4 linked regions of the Arabidopsis thaliana genome follow. The protein of the gene in region 3 interacts with the protein of the main gene of each other region in a pairwise test. Each region holds a gene or a part of one and is shown on either strand. Other genes may lie near its edges.

What was found.
Region 1: the proteins of ERF12 (region 3) and TCP3 interact in binary tests that used the Arabidopsis thaliana proteins (3 or more experiments, as listed by UniProt).
Region 2: the proteins of ERF12 (region 3) and LBD4 interact in binary tests that used the Arabidopsis thaliana proteins (3 or more experiments, as listed by UniProt).
Region 4: the proteins of ERF12 (region 3) and LSD1 interact in binary tests that used the Arabidopsis thaliana proteins (3 or more experiments, as listed by UniProt).

Annotation. Positions count from the first base shown.
Region 1 is NC_003070.9:19,849,105-19,853,552, reverse strand, and holds TCP3 (TEOSINTE BRANCHED 1, cycloidea and PCF transcription factor 3), read left to right. Parts: upstream 1-1,827; 5' UTR 1,828-2,117; coding exon 2,118-3,293; 3' UTR 3,294-3,351; exon of another isoform or gene 3,352-3,352; intron 3,353-3,445; 3' UTR 3,446-3,765; downstream 3,766-4,448. UniProt on the Arabidopsis thaliana protein: Plays a pivotal role in the control of morphogenesis of shoot organs by negatively regulating the expression of boundary-specific genes such as CUC genes, probably through the induction of miRNA (e.g. miR164). Participates in ovule development.
Region 2 is NC_003070.9:11,211,107-11,215,211, forward strand, and holds LBD4 (LOB domain-containing protein 4), read left to right. Parts: upstream 1-1,851; 5' UTR 1,852-2,000; coding exon 2,001-2,177; intron 2,178-2,584; coding exon 2,585-2,926; 3' UTR 2,927-3,461; downstream 3,462-4,105. Other genes in the region: PSAF (photosystem I subunit F), read right to left, coding at 3,905-4,105.
Region 3 is NC_003070.9:9,950,119-9,954,000, reverse strand, and holds ERF12 (ERF domain protein 12), read right to left. Parts: upstream 2,240-3,882; 5' UTR 2,068-2,239; coding exon 1,498-2,067; 3' UTR 896-1,497; downstream 1-895.
Region 4 is NC_003075.7:11,002,710-11,007,472, forward strand, and holds LSD1 (LSD1 zinc finger family protein), read left to right. Parts: upstream 1-1,807; 5' UTR 1,808-2,005; intron 2,006-2,125; 5' UTR 2,126-2,187; exon of another isoform or gene 2,188-2,302; coding exon of another isoform or gene 2,303-2,317; coding exon 2,318-2,441; intron 2,442-2,530; coding exon 2,531-2,635; intron 2,636-2,720; coding exon 2,721-2,752; intron 2,753-2,847; coding exon 2,848-2,893; intron 2,894-3,124; coding exon 3,125-3,264; coding exon of another isoform or gene 3,265-3,285; exon of another isoform or gene 3,286-3,364; coding exon 3,365-3,436; intron 3,437-3,528; coding exon 3,529-3,600; intron 3,601-3,687; coding exon 3,688-3,729; 3' UTR 3,730-4,079; downstream 4,080-4,763. Other genes in the region: TSF (PEBP (phosphatidylethanolamine-binding protein) family protein), read right to left, coding at 56-256; AT4G20390 (Uncharacterized protein family (UPF0497)), read left to right, coding at 4,359-4,570, 4,662-4,763.

The sequences.
Region 1 (4,448 bases), 9.9 Mb from region 3:
TTTATTTCTTTATCGGAAAAACAAGTTGACAAAAATAAATGAAAGGAATAAATATTGGGGAAAATAACTTAAGAGAGAGAGATAAGAGGAAATGACTATGAGGGTGATGGGGAGTGTACTTACTGACACACATGCGATCGAAAAACACTAAAAGCCTATAGGGTATATTCGTAAATTTATTTAGACTACACTTGGTTGAGTAGGTGCAATGGGAAACATTTATTTGAAATTTGATTCCATCTTTGCCTTACATATCGATACGTCATCTTTTTATGTGTGCATTGTCATTATTTGATGATCAAGAATATGGTACCAAATACATTATATATCAGAAAAGTTCGTATGACTACGGGTATTTAATTAAAAATACAGTACATGCATGGTCGGTGTGTATAATGGAGAAGTAGTTAGAAAGAGAATTTGTGGTAATGACAAAAAAATGGAAAACAATAATTGATTGTGTCCTAAACCAGTGAACCGTGCGATATTTCGTGCCTTTAAATTTGATGTTGCATGTCGTAGAACGATGTTTTGATAATTTCTTCTCTTGGGAAGGTAAAAGAAAAAATTATGGATTCAATGCAGATTGGCTCGATGAGTAGGAAACGCACTTACAAAAAACATAAATCTCCTATCTACAATCACATATTTCTTCTTATATCTCTCTTGAAATCTCTACATGAATCACACCTAAAATGTTCATATTTAATCACATACCATACTTGTATTAGTATGTCAAATGCTCGGGATTTCCTTGTTAACAAAAAAGAAAAAAAAAACTGATTGAGTTACCAAATTACGTATATATACACATTTTTATCTTTGTTTAAAGGAAATTCAAGTTAATTTTAAACTAAAACTATGTACAAGTATGTATCTCTATTATTTTCGTTTTCCATCTGAAACTTTACTACGTTTGGTTAATTAAAAGTGGGATTGACGAACAGTGGAGTTCGAGAACAGATAGTGGAAAGGAGCATAGACAATGGTTGATTATAGGGATACTGTCGAATCCTACGGATACTGGTGATGCATTTTACAGGGTGTAACCTCTAAAACCAATACAATTTGATTCGATGAAAATAATACTTTATTTGTTTAAAATAATACCATCAATATTAGTTTATACCGCCCAATTATTAGTGTCTCCAACTCTCCAACAGATCTAAAAGCTTTACTTTTTAGTTTTTATTATAAAAGAAATCTTCTTGTATTGTCTTTTTTTCCAACAACCCAAAACCTTTACTACCTCAAAAGTTCTGTATTAATATTTTCTAACACAGTACAGAACAATCTTTGACTTGGTAAAATTTGGGTTTATTAGTGCTTATAGTTTCTATCATCTTTAACAAAAAAAAATAGTGGTAGTCAGAACCAAACCTAAGAGGACTATGTATATGTGTTGATATTCTTACAGTAACCTCTACCAAAATATATCCATTGTAATGTATATAGCTAATACAATTCGAAATGTCATGTAAAATATTTCCACATGATGAATCGGACAAAAGCTTTTTGTTTTTCATTTAGAAAAACCATAAAATATATAATATAAAATAAGAAAACACTTTAAAAATGAAATAAAAGCACAAGTGATGATGATGAGTATCAGAGAGCTCTTTTTATGACCAAACACACTCCTTCCATTACCATTTCCCTCTCTTCCCCAAACCCCAAAATCTCTTCCTTTTTTTACCGTTACTGTAAATTTTCCGGCCAGAAACAAAAAATTAAAAAGAGCTTTCCTGGATTCTCGTTTAGTCAATTCCACATCTCTCTATCTCTTCTCTCTCTTCTTGCTTCCTCTGTTTTTGCTTCTTGAATTCTCAGAAACAGAGACAAATTCTAAAAAAGAAACAATCTTTAGACAAAAGAAGAGAAATTTAGTCATGGGTTAGTCTGCAAAATTCAATTACGTCTTCTTCTTCTTCTTCTTCTTCATCTTTGATTTGTTGGCGTGTTTAGGGTTTGGGATTTGGAGGAGAGGCAAAATGTTGAATTAAATAAATCGAACGACTCTGGATTCCTCGGCGGTTAACGACCGCCGTCGCCGCCGCCGTCATAATCCAACCACCACCACCATCAACGACCTTGAATTTCCACAATATGCTTCATCAATGGCACCAGATAACGACCATTTCTTAGATTCTCCGTCGCCGCCTCTTCTAGAGATGAGACACCACCAATCAGCGACGGAGAACGGTGGTGGTTGCGGCGAGATTGTGGAGGTACAAGGAGGTCACATTGTTCGGTCAACAGGAAGAAAAGACAGACATAGTAAAGTATGTACAGCGAAAGGACCACGTGACCGGCGCGTGAGACTCTCAGCTCCGACGGCGATTCAATTCTACGATGTTCAAGATAGACTTGGTTTTGATCGACCAAGTAAAGCTGTTGATTGGCTTATTACTAAAGCTAAATCCGCCATTGATGATCTTGCTCAGCTTCCTCCTTGGAACCCCGCCGATACTCTTCGTCAACACGCCGCCGCTGCTGCTAACGCTAAACCCAGAAAAACCAAAACTTTAATTTCTCCGCCACCGCCACAACCGGAAGAAACAGAGCATCATCGAATCGGAGAAGAAGAAGATAACGAATCGAGTTTTCTTCCGGCGTCAATGGATTCTGATTCGATAGCTGACACTATAAAGTCGTTTTTTCCGGTAGCTTCAACGCAACAGAGCTATCATCATCAGCCACCGTCACGAGGCAATACACAGAACCAAGATCTTCTTCGTCTCTCGCTTCAATCTTTCCAAAATGGTCCACCTTTTCCTAATCAAACAGAACCTGCTCTGTTCTCCGGCCAGAGCAATAATCAGTTAGCGTTTGACTCATCGACGGCAAGCTGGGAACAGAGTCATCAGTCACCGGAATTTGGAAAGATACAGAGACTAGTGTCATGGAACAACGTCGGAGCAGCTGAATCCGCCGGAAGTACCGGAGGATTTGTGTTTGCTTCTCCGTCGTCGTTGCATCCAGTTTATAGCCAAAGTCAGCTTTTATCACAGAGGGGTCCCCTTCAGTCCATTAACACACCTATGATTCGTGCTTGGTTTGATCCTCACCATCATCATCATCATCATCAGCAGTCCATGACCACTGACGATCTCCACCATCATCATCCCTACCATATCCCTCCCGGGATTCACCAATCTGCTATTCCAGGCATTGCATTTGCTTCAAGTGGTGAATTCTCCGGTTTTCGTATACCAGCACGGTTTCAAGGCGAACAAGAGGAGCACGGCGGCGACAACAAGCCGTCCTCTGCTTCATCCGATTCTCGCCATTAAACAAGTTCCAAAAACACATAAGATTGTGCAACACAACAGGTTTCTTTTCATATTCCAGGTTTGAAGTTTTTCGAAAACAACACCCATTTGTGAAAGTCTTGTCTTTTAACCATTCATCAAATTGATAACTTACATTGTTTTTAACGTTTCAGGGCGCTTCGAATGCGTGGAATAGTGAAGGCGGTTTTCGTTGTTGTGTGTTTCGAATATCCAAATGGCCTATAAATCTGATCAACAGTTTCAGGTTCTTCTTAAGTCTTTAAAAGCCTAGGCCTTGGTTAATTTGAATTCATCTTGTATCAATTAGAGAACGTTCTGTAAGTTCAATTCTGTTTTACAATGTTTAGCTCTAGCTACATGAGCTCACATCTTGTTTGTTGTAACTTGTTCTACAATTACTTGTCCTTTATTTATGTTCTTGTGTTGGAAACCTTTAACCCCACTTGAAGCTAAAGTCTTTTGTTTGCCCTTTATTCCATGTGGGTTTAATGCTTTCCCCAAGAAATATCTCATTTTGTTTGCCAATCCCAAAGAGGAACAGTGCTCTATCCATCTACATCAATCATCATATTGTTTGGTTTAGCGTTTATTAGAAGTATTATCTTCCCAATCTCTGTGGTTATAAACTTTCTTTTGACTAGCAAATGGAATTTGAAACAATCATTTCTCTTGTGTTTCTTAGTCTCTTCTTTTGGCCCCATAGATGAAGAGTCACTTTCCATAGACAGGGTTTGCATGTGTTGCTTCTTTTGGAGTTTAGAGTTTAGAATTATGGGTTTCTTTTAAAATTTGTTTAGTGGATGCAAGCTCTGATACTTAGTAAGAGTTTTGGCCCATGATCCACGGATCCCTATATAAATATCAGAGAAATGGTTTTTGACTTCTTTTCATAGAATCTTCCTCAATACTAGATTTCAAGATTTTATGAAAAAGGAGCAAAAGAGAATTTGATGTCTAGTGTCAAATAACTGTCTACTTTAAACAAGAGTGTAGGAGATCCACCGAACTTGAGTGTGATGTAGTCTTTAATAAGTAAAAAAGAATAGGACATTAGATTAGTAGATGAAGACACTCTTGTTGGTCTAAATGAAGGAAGTTGAAAGCAGAGCAAGTCTCTTTCTTTTCAGATCAATAGTGTGAAGGTATGAATTTTTG
Region 2 (4,105 bases), 1.3 Mb from region 3:
TAGTTTTAATACTCAGTATATTACATCTCATGAAAAGAATTTACAGTTTTTTCTATTAAAGCTGTGGGAGTTTTCTTCTAAAATGTTTTTTTTTGTCGTCCTTGTAAAATGTTCTACATTCGTCATTTTCAGGCTATCTTTGATTTCGAAAGCTGTGGGCGTTTTCTTTTTTTAATTTTTTTAATTTTTTTTTTTTTTTGTCTTTTTCTACGAAAATAAAATAGCGTGCACTGTATTGTTTCTTTCAACTTTATTTTTTGACTAGTGAAAGACTAGACATTTTGTTGCCCTGCCCCTATATTTTTTGTGTTTATTTTAAGGTTGTTTTTTCTCTTTTTATAATGACCGTAAAATGAGTTTTTACAAAATCTGCTTCAAATATGTAATGAAAACCTTGATAATATGTAAATGTACTAAAAACAAAATCTTGATATGGGTACATGTGAAAATAGTATATTTCTGTTCTAAGAATATACTGTTTTATGTTCTAAAATATCAACAAATAGATATCTTTGCATTTTTTTTTATACATCAATATTAGTATTACCTACATTGTCTAAGAGATGTAACCCAACTTATGTCGCAACTAGAACTACATCTCAGAAATCACCGAGCCGAGAGAAAATTGTAAGAGTCCTCGACCAGCAAAACGTAGGAACATCAACTCAAAGCAGTCGAGAATAAGAACCACTGACTTGCATCAAAACAGAAGATCTAACCACACCACACAGAATCCGAAAAGAAGACATCCACCATCGTTTAAACTTTCAACCCTTGACCCAACCACCGGTGATAAAGACTTGTCCATTATAGTTTACTAAAGTTTATGATCAAACTTAAAATATCTGTTGTTAGATTGATACCTCTAATTCCTTTGAATTGCTTCTTAGATTTCCACTTTACCCTTCCACGATTTTTAAGCAATGGAAAATTAAGTTTCATTTGTTTCAGATTTTAATATTAATCCCCTTCTATGCAAATTGAGGGACCACGTAGAAAGTTGTGAGAATCTCAATACACAAAAGATATAGAAACAATGATTACATGCACAAGCACGAGGCCATAAATTTCCTTATCCTATACACATTTTCAATAAAGATGTAACATTCCAAACAGAAAACCCTCTTGTAGCTCACTCTACAAAAAAAAGAGTATAGAATTCCAATATTAAAGTTTATAGGTCGACTATTTCAAAACCAATTGCTATAAAGTAAATTGATTAATATTTTTATACTCTCTTCGATTTATAATATAAGTTGTTTTGGACCAATTTTTTTGTTTTACAATTAAATTGTTTTTAAGTTTTTATGCAAACTATATATTTATTTTAATATTTTATAATTATTTATATTATGCAGTCTCTTTTGTGATTGGTTGAACTTTTTAAAAGTAAATATTCTTAATCTTCGTACTTTTAGGTAAAACAACTTATATTGTGAAACGGAGGGAGTATATCATTTACAATTTCTCTTTATTTAGTTTTGTGGTGATTCCGAATATTAATTACAACTTGTACCATTTAATTCAACCATATTCGAAGAAAACATTAAAGGCAAAACAAATTAAGGGGAAAAAGAAATCAAAAGTTAAAAAAAAAAATTAAGACCAATGAGAATAGATAAGGGGTAAAAGACAAAAAGAGAATATAAAAAAAACAAATAGCATTTGGCGCCAAAAGTAAAACTAAAATGGTCATGTCACGTGATGTTAATTTTTGCTCTACGACCAAAGCAAAACAAACCTAAAGTTTTCCAAATCTCTGGGTCCCACTCTCAGATGTGCTGACTTTTATTTTTTTTACTTTTGTCTTAAATCTTTGGAAATTTTCAGTTTTAATTTAATTTAATTCATCTCTCTTTCTCACTCTATAAATCCCCACAGATCCGTCACACTTCACCTAGAGACCCTCCCACAGCTTTCTCGATAACTGACAATCCAACGGTTGAGATTCAGTTCTTCTAGATAAATTCACATATCCAAAGGACACGTGGCGGCGAGAGATGAAAGAAAGTAGCCGGAAGCAAGGAGCTGCGTCACCGTGTGCTGCGTGTAAGCTTTTGCGGCGGCGGTGCGCTCAAGATTGCGTTTTCTCGCCGTATTTTCCGGCCGATGAGCCTCAGAAATTTGCTAATGTTCATAGAGTGTTCGGTGCTAGCAACGTCAACAAGATGCTTCAGGTTTCTTTCTTCTTGTTCTTCTTAAGAATATCTAAAACGTGCTTACTCATATGTTGGGTTAGGTTTAATTAGGATGATTTTCTTGTTTCTTATTTTAGATGAGACATTACTATCATTTCCATAACTTTTTATTGACAACTACCACATGGGCCGACCCGTTTATATTATAAGTTTAGGGATTTAAAAACAAAATTGTTGAATTTTAAGAATTTAGGAATATGTTACATTTATTAGCTGATGTTGAATTTTAACCATATTAACTTTTGTTAGCTAATGTTAATGATATGATTTACATTTCTTAGCTAGCTGATGTAGAGTCTACATTTGAGATGGATTATATAAATTTTATATAGTCTTGCGAGATTAATTGGTCTAGTGGCTGACAAAATGTTTTAAAAACTCAACAGGAATTACCAATCCACCAGCGAGGGGACGCTGTGAGCAGCATGGTTTACGAGGCTAATGCAAGAGTGCGGGATCCGGTTTACGGTTGCGTTGGGGCAATTTCGTCCCTCCAGCAACAGATAGATGTGTTGCAAGCTCAGCTAGCTCTAGCTCAAGCTGAGGTGGTGCATCTACGTGTACGCCAGTCGACTAATTTCCCAGGGCACGGACTATGCCCGGATAGTCCGAGTAGCAGCGGGTCACCGTCTTCGAAGCAAGTGAGTCCACAGGACAACAAGGGCATGTTTAGCCATATGGACATTGTGGATGAAGCCAGTTTGGGAGAGTCTATGTGGTCTTGCTAGTCAATAATGCTCTCTTTCTGCTACTGCAATTTCCTCTTCCTTTTTTGGGAAATTTCGGGATTATTATATATTAAATTTAGGGGTAGGATATGAAAATGCTCTGTTTTGACTACAGAGTGAAATTATTAACATGATATAGATACATAAAAATACTAAATATATTTATATATTATAAATCTCTCTCTATATATTTATTAGTATTTGTAACTTTGTAATTCCGGGGTATTTGGGATTTGGTGTATGTGTAGGACCTTTGGATCATGATCCGGTAGGGTTATTTTGATCATTTCCAACCGAGGAGGGATCTTTGTTATTGACCTAATGTAAATTTGTGAGATATATTATTTATCTATATCTATATACAATTATGATCATGTAACCCATGGTGTGTGCTTGACTCTGTGAGCATATTATCGTGTAATGGTCATCTTTGATACTAGCTAAGTCTAGCTTAGCAATTAGCACTAAGCACTTGTATGGGCCTGAATTTTTATTATGCAAACTTATGGCCCATTTGTCTTTATTTTTTGGTTTCCTTGCAAACATTTGCCATTTGATAGTCGCTGATAGAATCGCTCGCATATGAAGGAAACAGAAAGACCGGACCGGAGCATGTGCTTGTGGTAAGAAATTTACAGTGAGCTTAAGAAGAAACACAAGTAATTTAGTCTATTATAGTTCAAGAGCTTCTCCTGCATTCATGCAAATGCAAGAGTGGTAAAATAGCATTATACTAAGTAAATTTGGTTATGCTCCTGTGCGTTATATCAGGATATTCCCTTCAAGCAATTGAGCTTCACATAGCAATCACTAGACCGCAAAATCACAATCTGTCAATCACCATTTTAGCCATAATTCTTTCTACTTGCGCAATCCAAATTTTATAAGGTTTTCGACAATGCATTGTTTTTCAATAAGTACAATGGAAAACAAAGAGATTAGAGAGAGTAACACAAAAGCAGAAAACAAGTTCCCTTTTTAAACATCCTTAGCAATGAGATCACCATTGAGAAACTCTCTGTAGGCAGCAACGGGCCAAATGAAACCACGGAAGATGATCCGACTAGCCAAAGGAACATCGATGATGATCTCTTTCATCGCGGGTTTCTTCTCACCACTAATAGCTATTAAGTAGCTTCTTCCAACCCACCCGATCCATCCAGCAATGTAGAGGAAAAG
Region 3 (3,882 bases):
AAGGACTAAAATAAACAGTTAAGCCCATATAAAAAAAAAGTAATGTAGCAACCCAAAGTTTTGAATTGATTTTTCACTAACACAAGCGATATCATGCGGCGGCGCGTGGGGTCTCTTTGGCCAATTTGGTAAATTCAGTTGCACCGCAGAAACACATGCAGAGGTTCGTCGTCATAGCGAACATATGTTTAAATTCAGATTATACAACTGGTTTATTAGGCCTAAAACATAAATTTTTTGTTAGGTTCTAAATATTTCTTAAATTATAAAATTTGTCGCTAAACTCTTTTTGTCTTTCTCTTGCTAAAAGCTACATGAGGTCGATTACAAATCGCTTATGAAATACGATAAAAAGAAGTTGCAACGAAACTGTTAGAATTTGATCTTTTATGAAAGCAATATGCATAATGCATGATCTTTGTTTAGTCAATACATATGTCTAAGTGTCTAACACATGTAACAGTTCTATGACTGTTTTATAGTCTCATAAAACTACACGATTCCGGTTCTACATATAAAACATAAACATAAAATCTTCACAATCTGCATGAAAGTTTTGATTTCGCTACGTGAGATCTCCTTTAGTTAATTAATTTGACTTCTTATGATATTTGATTATATCAAACATGTTTGTTTCATTTACTACTGAAATTTGCGTTATTTTAAGACTTCTGTAGATAAATTTGTTATGTGAATTTGATATTTATCTATATAGGACCGTCAAAAATTTTATTTATTTTATATTTTTAGATGCTTCTATATATATATGTATACACGCATAACATATATAAGATTGGTAAACATGAGCAGAAAAATTATAGGACAATTAAACTTCCTCTAATTTTATCAGAAAACTTTTGTTCGAATTCATATGAAAATTTTCAAAATAAATAAAAAAATACAATTTATTTACAAACTCAAGACTCATAATACACATATCTTGTCCGTAAGTGAATAAGCCAGTCCAAACTCACACGCTTGCTCAGCATTTACGTCTCTCATTAGTCTCTATCTCTTTTGTTTGTTTCCTTCTTTTCTCAGTCCGTCTTTTGTCGTGATTTAAGAGAGAGGCGCGTGAGTCAAACAGGACACTAGCAAAGCAAACAGCTGCACAAGTCAGTCCGTACTTCACGACACGCCATAGAATACGATAAGATTTTTAAAACCCCCTCGAAACCGACATAAGCGACGGTCGTAACACGATCCACAAACATAATTAGATCCACGTTCAGACGTTGTTAAGTTTTTGTGTTGCTAATTAAGAAGTTTCTTGTTTTTTCCGCAACATATGGATCTCACAACAACAATCGATCTCCGACTCTTACATAACGAACAAAAGAAGGATTAAATTATAAAAACAAGTCTACTAACTCTAACAAAAAGATACTATTTGCTAAAAAAAGAAACTAAAGTAGTTCCACCGAAAGTGGTCTCAAACGGCGCCGTATAGAAAAGTAGGCAAAACGGCGCCGCTATATCCATCTTTATCGTTTGTTTTCAAAGCCAAAGCGGCGGAGGCTCGTTGAGGTCAATGGCTAAGCCACGTCTCACCGTAACAGGGGAAGGAGAAGAATTCATCATCGGAAACCCAACCACTTGATAACCAGGCGATGACGTGGCTGTGTTAGGCGAGGAGGTGAAGTAAAGCGGCGCTTCTGTAGAAGAGTAATCTGAAGTTTTGTCGTTTAGCACACCGGTTCGGAGAAAAATGCGGTGGTGTTGGTGATGATGGTCGGAGCTTGGAGGAACAGGAGGAGGCGCAGCGAACCAGAGCTGTTGGTGTTGGTGGGGTTGGTTATTTGCGGCGGCGGTTGCGGCTGAGGGAGCGGAAGGGAGGTGGTTGAGGTCGAGAGAGAGAGGAGAAGGGAAGTTAGTTTTGGCTTTGATACCACGGAGGAAACGAGCAGCGCCGTCGTAAGCAAGAGCAGCTTCTTCGGGAGTGTCGAAAGTGCCTAACCAAACCCTAGTTTTCTTCCAAGGATCTCGTATCTCAGCAGCGTAGCGACCCCAAGGTCTCTTTCTGACTCCTCTGTAATGCACCTCTCTTGCACACGTCGTTGACGCCATTGTTAGACTCTCAAGAGGGGAAATATGAGAGAATCTAGAGAGAAAGTGGAGAAGAGAAGAAAGAGGTTTTGCTTTGTTGGCTCGTTTGACCCAAATGAGAGAGAGAGTGAGTGAGTTTAAAGAGCAAGAGGTGTGTTTGTAGGGCCGCTTGAGAACACCCGTAATCCTCGGCTTCTTTTGACGATTATCTATCTTTATTTGTTGCCTATACGTAATATATATGGCAAGTTAATAGTAAAAACAAAACTGAATAGTGTTTGATTTCTAGGATCGAGGTTTTCTCTGGGGTTTGCAAGAATCAAGCACCGTTCGATCTTTTGCTGTTGGGTGATGTGACGGTGGTATGCTGAGAGATTGTTACACGTGGGTGTTCTACACCAAAATAATGTTGTTTTAATAAGTTGATGTATTTGAAAAAATACAATAGGATTTCTCATAAAGTGAATACTTCTAGTGGTGAGTGGACTTATTCTAGGACATGAAAGAAAACAATGCTAATCATTCCTTTGAGTGCTAATACTGTTTTCTTATCTACCATTTACAACTTCTGTTATATAAAAAAGATTTGTTAGGTAATGGTTAGAAATAAAATATTTTAGTTCTACTCTCCAAACAACCTCATTACCGTTGTAACTTATGGTAAATTAACTCATTACTTGCTAGTGACGATAATGCCATACTATGAAATTTATGCTATTATAAAAAGAAGATAGAAAGATCATTTTTGCATAGGCTCTCCAAACATTTTTTCATAATTCAAGTACTTTGTTTTCGATCGTAACAATCTCGATGCTTTTTCTCACAGCAACCATTGATACAAAATGATCAAAGAAAAAAGAACTAAAAATAAATAATCTTGTACATTTACGAAGAGGAAAGAAAAATGGGCCGCCTCTTTGACTGAACCTGTGGCATAGGGATGCTGACGTAATCCCTAGTACTGATAATAGCCATCTCTCTCTATCTTTTGTATCTTTCACTCTATTATTTGACAAGTATTTAAATGCTCTCTTTTGGGGTTTTATTGGCACCCATATATATTTATGATGCACGAGGACAAGGCTACAAGGAGATCATTAAATAAAGTTACTTGACACAACTACTCTATCTTTAGCTCTGACTGATTTTGTTTTTCTTTTTGTCCAAAATTCATTAGCCCATCTTATGCAAACTTACTATACTCTCTAGTCTATACTAATAGAGTAGATTACATAGGCTCTTTCTTTTCCCTCTAAAAAGTGACGTAGTTTAAGTCTTTATATTGTGTAAAATATATAGTAATCATAGGAGTCAAAAATTTATAGCAATTGAAGTGGCTTATAATTTTCAGTAATAGACAATGAATTAAAACAAATTAGTTAGAGGTTTTTTGTTTTTGTTTTATCAACTGAAGTTTTATTAGATTAATTTGTCTTTTAACTTCTCTATTTCTTGACATTTTGTAAGATGTTTTTGTTTGGTTTTAGGGTTATTTAAAAATAAATAAAAAAATCTGTGTTTCCTTTCACGTGACAAGGCTTAGGGTCTGTCGTTTTGATTGAACAAATGCATTGGTCCATATCTAACAAAATTTATACACGTGCGAACTCTGATGTCTGACTTCTCTCTCTCTGACATATCTAATTATTTAAATTAACCCTACCTATAAGCACAGTAAAAAAAAGAGAGATACCCCAAAGCTATATAAGCTACTACAGTACTAATAATCATTTTCAAGAAATATTTTGGAGAAAAATGTGAATGTGGCTTTCGTGTTCACGTGAGCCTGTGATACATAAGAGCTTTATGACGTGTCTTTGTAGTAGCAGCTAGGAC
Region 4 (4,763 bases), on a different chromosome or scaffold from region 3:
GAGCTACGAGGAACTAAATCAATGAAGATAAGAGGAATGAAGGAGAGAAGATCACCAAGGTGTAGAAATTTCTGAAGTCGTCTCCTCCAATCTCCACTATTGGTTTGTTCAGAACTTGAGAAGGCCTTAGATCCAAGCCATTAGTAACCTCTCTATGGCCATAAGTGACCTTAAGAGAGACCAACCTCGTGAAAGGATCAAGAACATCTCCAACAACACTGCCGACCACAAGAGGATCTCTACGACTTAAAGACATATTTATCTTGGATCTCAAGTATCTCAATCAAATGTTTTGCTTCTTACCTTATGAACCCTTACTTGCTATTCTTTATATAACGTTTTGGGAATTGCAATAATTAGCTATTTAGCTTTATTCTCTCCAATGAAATCATTACCAGGGTCTTTTCGTGTATAGTTTCGAGAATCTACAACTCGTTCAACGTACGTATATCACTTATAATTCATGTTTTTTTTTTCTTTCCTTTTTTCTAAATTTATAGTATTCTTATTCCAAAACCCACCAGTATAAAACAGAAATAATCATATTCCAAATTATACATCATCCACTTGTTTCTTGCTAGCCACTAGTATGTAATTTATTCTGACTTATCATTGTAACTTCATGAACTATTTAAAATAATGTCACAAGCATATAATATGCTGCATATTTGCGTACGTCACGCATTTTGCGTCACATGTCACTCATTTAAATAGTTAAGGACACTACATTACACCGATTATGTATGATGTTAATGCATTTTAGAATAACTCCTTCAACCTAAACCATCATATAAAAGTATATATGCTCCAGATAAATTGACGCCATAATTGTTCACATATCTGGTTGGTGTGTACATACGTACTAGACTCTTTTTTTTCTTTTCTTAATGTAGTACTAAACTTAATTAATACCATCAAAAATATCAATTTAACAAAACAAACCAGTAAAACTTTTAAAACAATGGAGTAAATCAAATAAAACAAGTAAATTAACAAATAGACACAAGGTAACAGAAGTATAATAACGACAGAAAAGTGAACAATTGGCCAAAAAATTCGTTTTCAAACGTGATTTCAAAATTGTCTCCAAATCTTAAATGTTGATAAAGTAATTTTTTTAAAATTCATTATACCTTTCAAAAACAAGTGTATTACCTAAAAGCTCAACCGTGTATTCTTACACTCCAAACAAATTTAGTTCCCCAAGTTTGGAAGACAAAAATTTCTAAGAAATTTCTGACAAAACACATGAGAAATAAACCGATAAAGACTTCTAAAAACTATTGCAGACCAGTTTCATTTGCTGACCACAAAAAGTCATGAGAATACAATTAGCTCAGTGATTCTTGATATTTCTGGTACCTAACAAAAAGAAAAGTGTGTGAGGTTAGATGGCTATGATTTTTGCTCTCCAATTTATTGTCCATTTCCCCAATTTGTAATATGAAATGCGCAAATTACTCTTCTTCCGATATGAATAAGCAAACGAAAACATACGTGGGACGTTATGTTCAGAACATTTGATTAAAGTTTATATGCGATTTTCATTTATTTATTATGAATTTTTTGTTTGGCAGCATGTACGATTTTTCATTTAACACACAAATATTATAGAATTTTCATTGGTTCAAAGGGGTAGACAAAAAATAATTTAATATTATTACACCATTTGCAGAAAATTAGAAAATATATTTTTACCCATAATTAATTGATCTATGGACGTATGCTTGGCATAAAAATTCATATTTAATTAGCAGAAGCCAATCGCTGCGTTTGTATATACGCGTTTATGACCGAGAAAAAAACCCTTACGCGTCATGTAAAAAAAAAAGAAGCGTAAATTACGAAAAACAGAGAGATAAATCCGGGCATTGAGATTTTGGAGATAGAGAGAGAGAAAAATCGAAATCTATTGTCTATCTCCTCAATTTGGATTGGATTTTCTGCATATCATCGCTCTAGCTTTCGCGGGTTTTGGATTCGATTCCTTACCCTTCTCCAATCGGTAAGAACAAGCTCCAAAGTTTGTTCCTTTTTTTCAATTTTCGCCAATTCTGTAATCTCATCATTGTCCTTGTTTGTTTGTTTGATTCAACACACAATTCTTGTTTTGATTTGGATGCAGAAGTTTTTGGCTTTGAATTGGATTTGGGTTTCGTTCCAAAATCAGCTCTTTTTGTTAATCAGGTGAGTTTTTAGGTATTTGAATCTCCAATTGCTTCCTTGCAATGACTAAGTATTGTGAAATGTTTAGGGTTTCATCTGTGTGGGTCTTGTTTTGAAGCAATTTGTGTGTGTTTGGATGAAAGTAGCAGATATGCAGGACCAGCTGGTGTGTCATGGTTGTAGGAATTTATTGATGTATCCTAGAGGAGCATCTAATGTGCGTTGTGCGTTATGTAACACTATCAACATGGTTCCTCCTCCTCCTCCACCTCACGGTATCGATTTCTTTGTTGAATTTGAATTGAGGATGAGGTTAATATGCTCTGCAATTGTATTATAACTTGGGTTCTGATTCTGAATACAGACATGGCACACATTATATGTGGTGGTTGTAGAACAATGCTTATGTATACGCGTGGGGCTAGTAGCGTAAGATGCTCTTGCTGTCAAACTACGAACCTTGTGCCAGGTATATTAATAATATCGTGACATCCATATCAATCCTTTTAAAGACCATGTATTATATTGCTTTATAAGGTCTTTTAGTCCTTTAGAATCTTCTTTCACACTTTTGTTTGATAACATTGTTCTGTGGAGATGATGCTTACGTAACGTATTTCCACTTTTCCCAAAGATGTATATGAATCTGAATTCTGAAAATATCTGGGATTTGTAAAGCAGCTGAAAGTACTTAAAACAAAGCTTTTAGATGGTCCCGGTGGACTAGGTAACTACTTGTTAGAGCTAGTAGGGTTTATTATTGTTTTGTTTGATCTACCATTAGATTCTTATCTTTAATTAGCGTCTAAGCTGTTGTCATTTAGCTGTATGATTATCATTTATCCATGACTGCTTAAGAACATTGCTGATTACTTCGTTCATTAGTATTTCTTGGATTTTTCTAGCATTAACATTGCTTGTTTTCTGAATCTGTGCGTGTCTTTTTTGAAATCGACAGCGCACTCCAATCAGGTTGCCCATGCTCCTTCCAGTCAGGTTGCGCAGATCAATTGTGGGCATTGTCGGACGACCCTCATGTATCCTTACGGTGCATCATCCGTCAAATGCGCTGTTTGTCAATTCGTAACTAACGTTAATGTGATTATTCCTATCTATTAAGCCACCTCTGCATGGTTGAGTTAAGTATAGAGATCTTTCTGTTGGAAATTTTCATTTCTGATTCATTTTGCATCCTTAGATGAGCAATGGAAGGGTACCTCTCCCAACTAACCGGCCAAATGGAACAGCTTGTCCCCCCTCTACATCAACTGTGAGTTATCAAATTATGAATTTGTAATAGTTCTGTATATTCTTATGGAACTGGTACTTACTCTGTTCATCGATTTTTCATTTTACCAACAGTCAACACCACCCTCTCAGACCCAAACCGTTGTTGTAGAAAACCCCATGTCCGTTGATGAAAGCGGAAAGTTGGTGAGTATTTCTATCACCTGTGTTCTTCTTCTTATTTACCACATTAGAGGAAGATATGACAAAGTGACTGAAACACACAAATTGCAGGTGAGCAATGTTGTTGTTGGAGTGACAACTGACAAAAAGTAATCAAGAATGAGTGAGATCTTAAAGATCAAATCCAAATTCTTCCTCTATTCCTGCGTTTGGTTTGTGCATATTACATACGCGGAAAAACTGTATGTTATATATCTCTTGACTCCTTTTTAACCCAAGAGAAAAAGCTTATCAGAATCTCTTGTTACTGCATTATTGGGGTTTATTCAAAGTTGAAGACACAAGGTTTTTGCTCGAATAATTTGGCATTCTTTTGCTCCATGGAACTTGACCTTCTCTTCTGTTTGTTGACTTCTAAAACTCCATCGGCCCTTGTGGCATTGTTAATGTATGTATGAATATAATCTGATACACCAACCAATCATTAAGATTTGGGTTTGAAATCTGTCTCTTCCGTGGATGAGATATGCTACATGTCACAAGAACTGGTCTTAGCTTTGGTAGATAAGACTTGTCTTAGAGCAAGTCTTGAAATCTGGAAATCTATTTTGCAGTAATCTTGTCACAACAACCATAACCTAATCAGTCAGTACCCTCCAAGAACATTAAAGTTAGATGATCCGACAAAACCTCTCAACAAGACCAAACTCTTTCCATATAAATACTCTTTAACACTGACACAAAGTTTCATCACTTTCTCTTGATCACTCACTGCATCAACAATGGCCAGAGAGAAGATTGTGGTGGCTGGTGGTACCACAAAGAGCTGGAAACTACTCTTGGGGCTGAGAATATTTGCATTCATGGCTACTTTAGCTGCAGCCATTGTAATGTCACTAAACAAAGAGACAAAGACCTTGGTTGTGGCCACCATTGGTACTGTTCCTATTAAAGCCACTTTAACCGCTAAGTTTCAGCACACACCGGCTTTTGTGTAAGCGAGTAAAACCCTATACGAAATCGATTCGATACATATTGAAAGCAAAATGTTTTTGAGTTATTAACATTGATTCTTGGTTTTACAGGTTCTTTGTTATAGCTAATGTAATGGTGAGCTTCCACAACTTGTTGATGATTGTGGTTCAGATTTTCAGCCGGAAACTGGAGTACAAAGGTCTTCGTCTCCT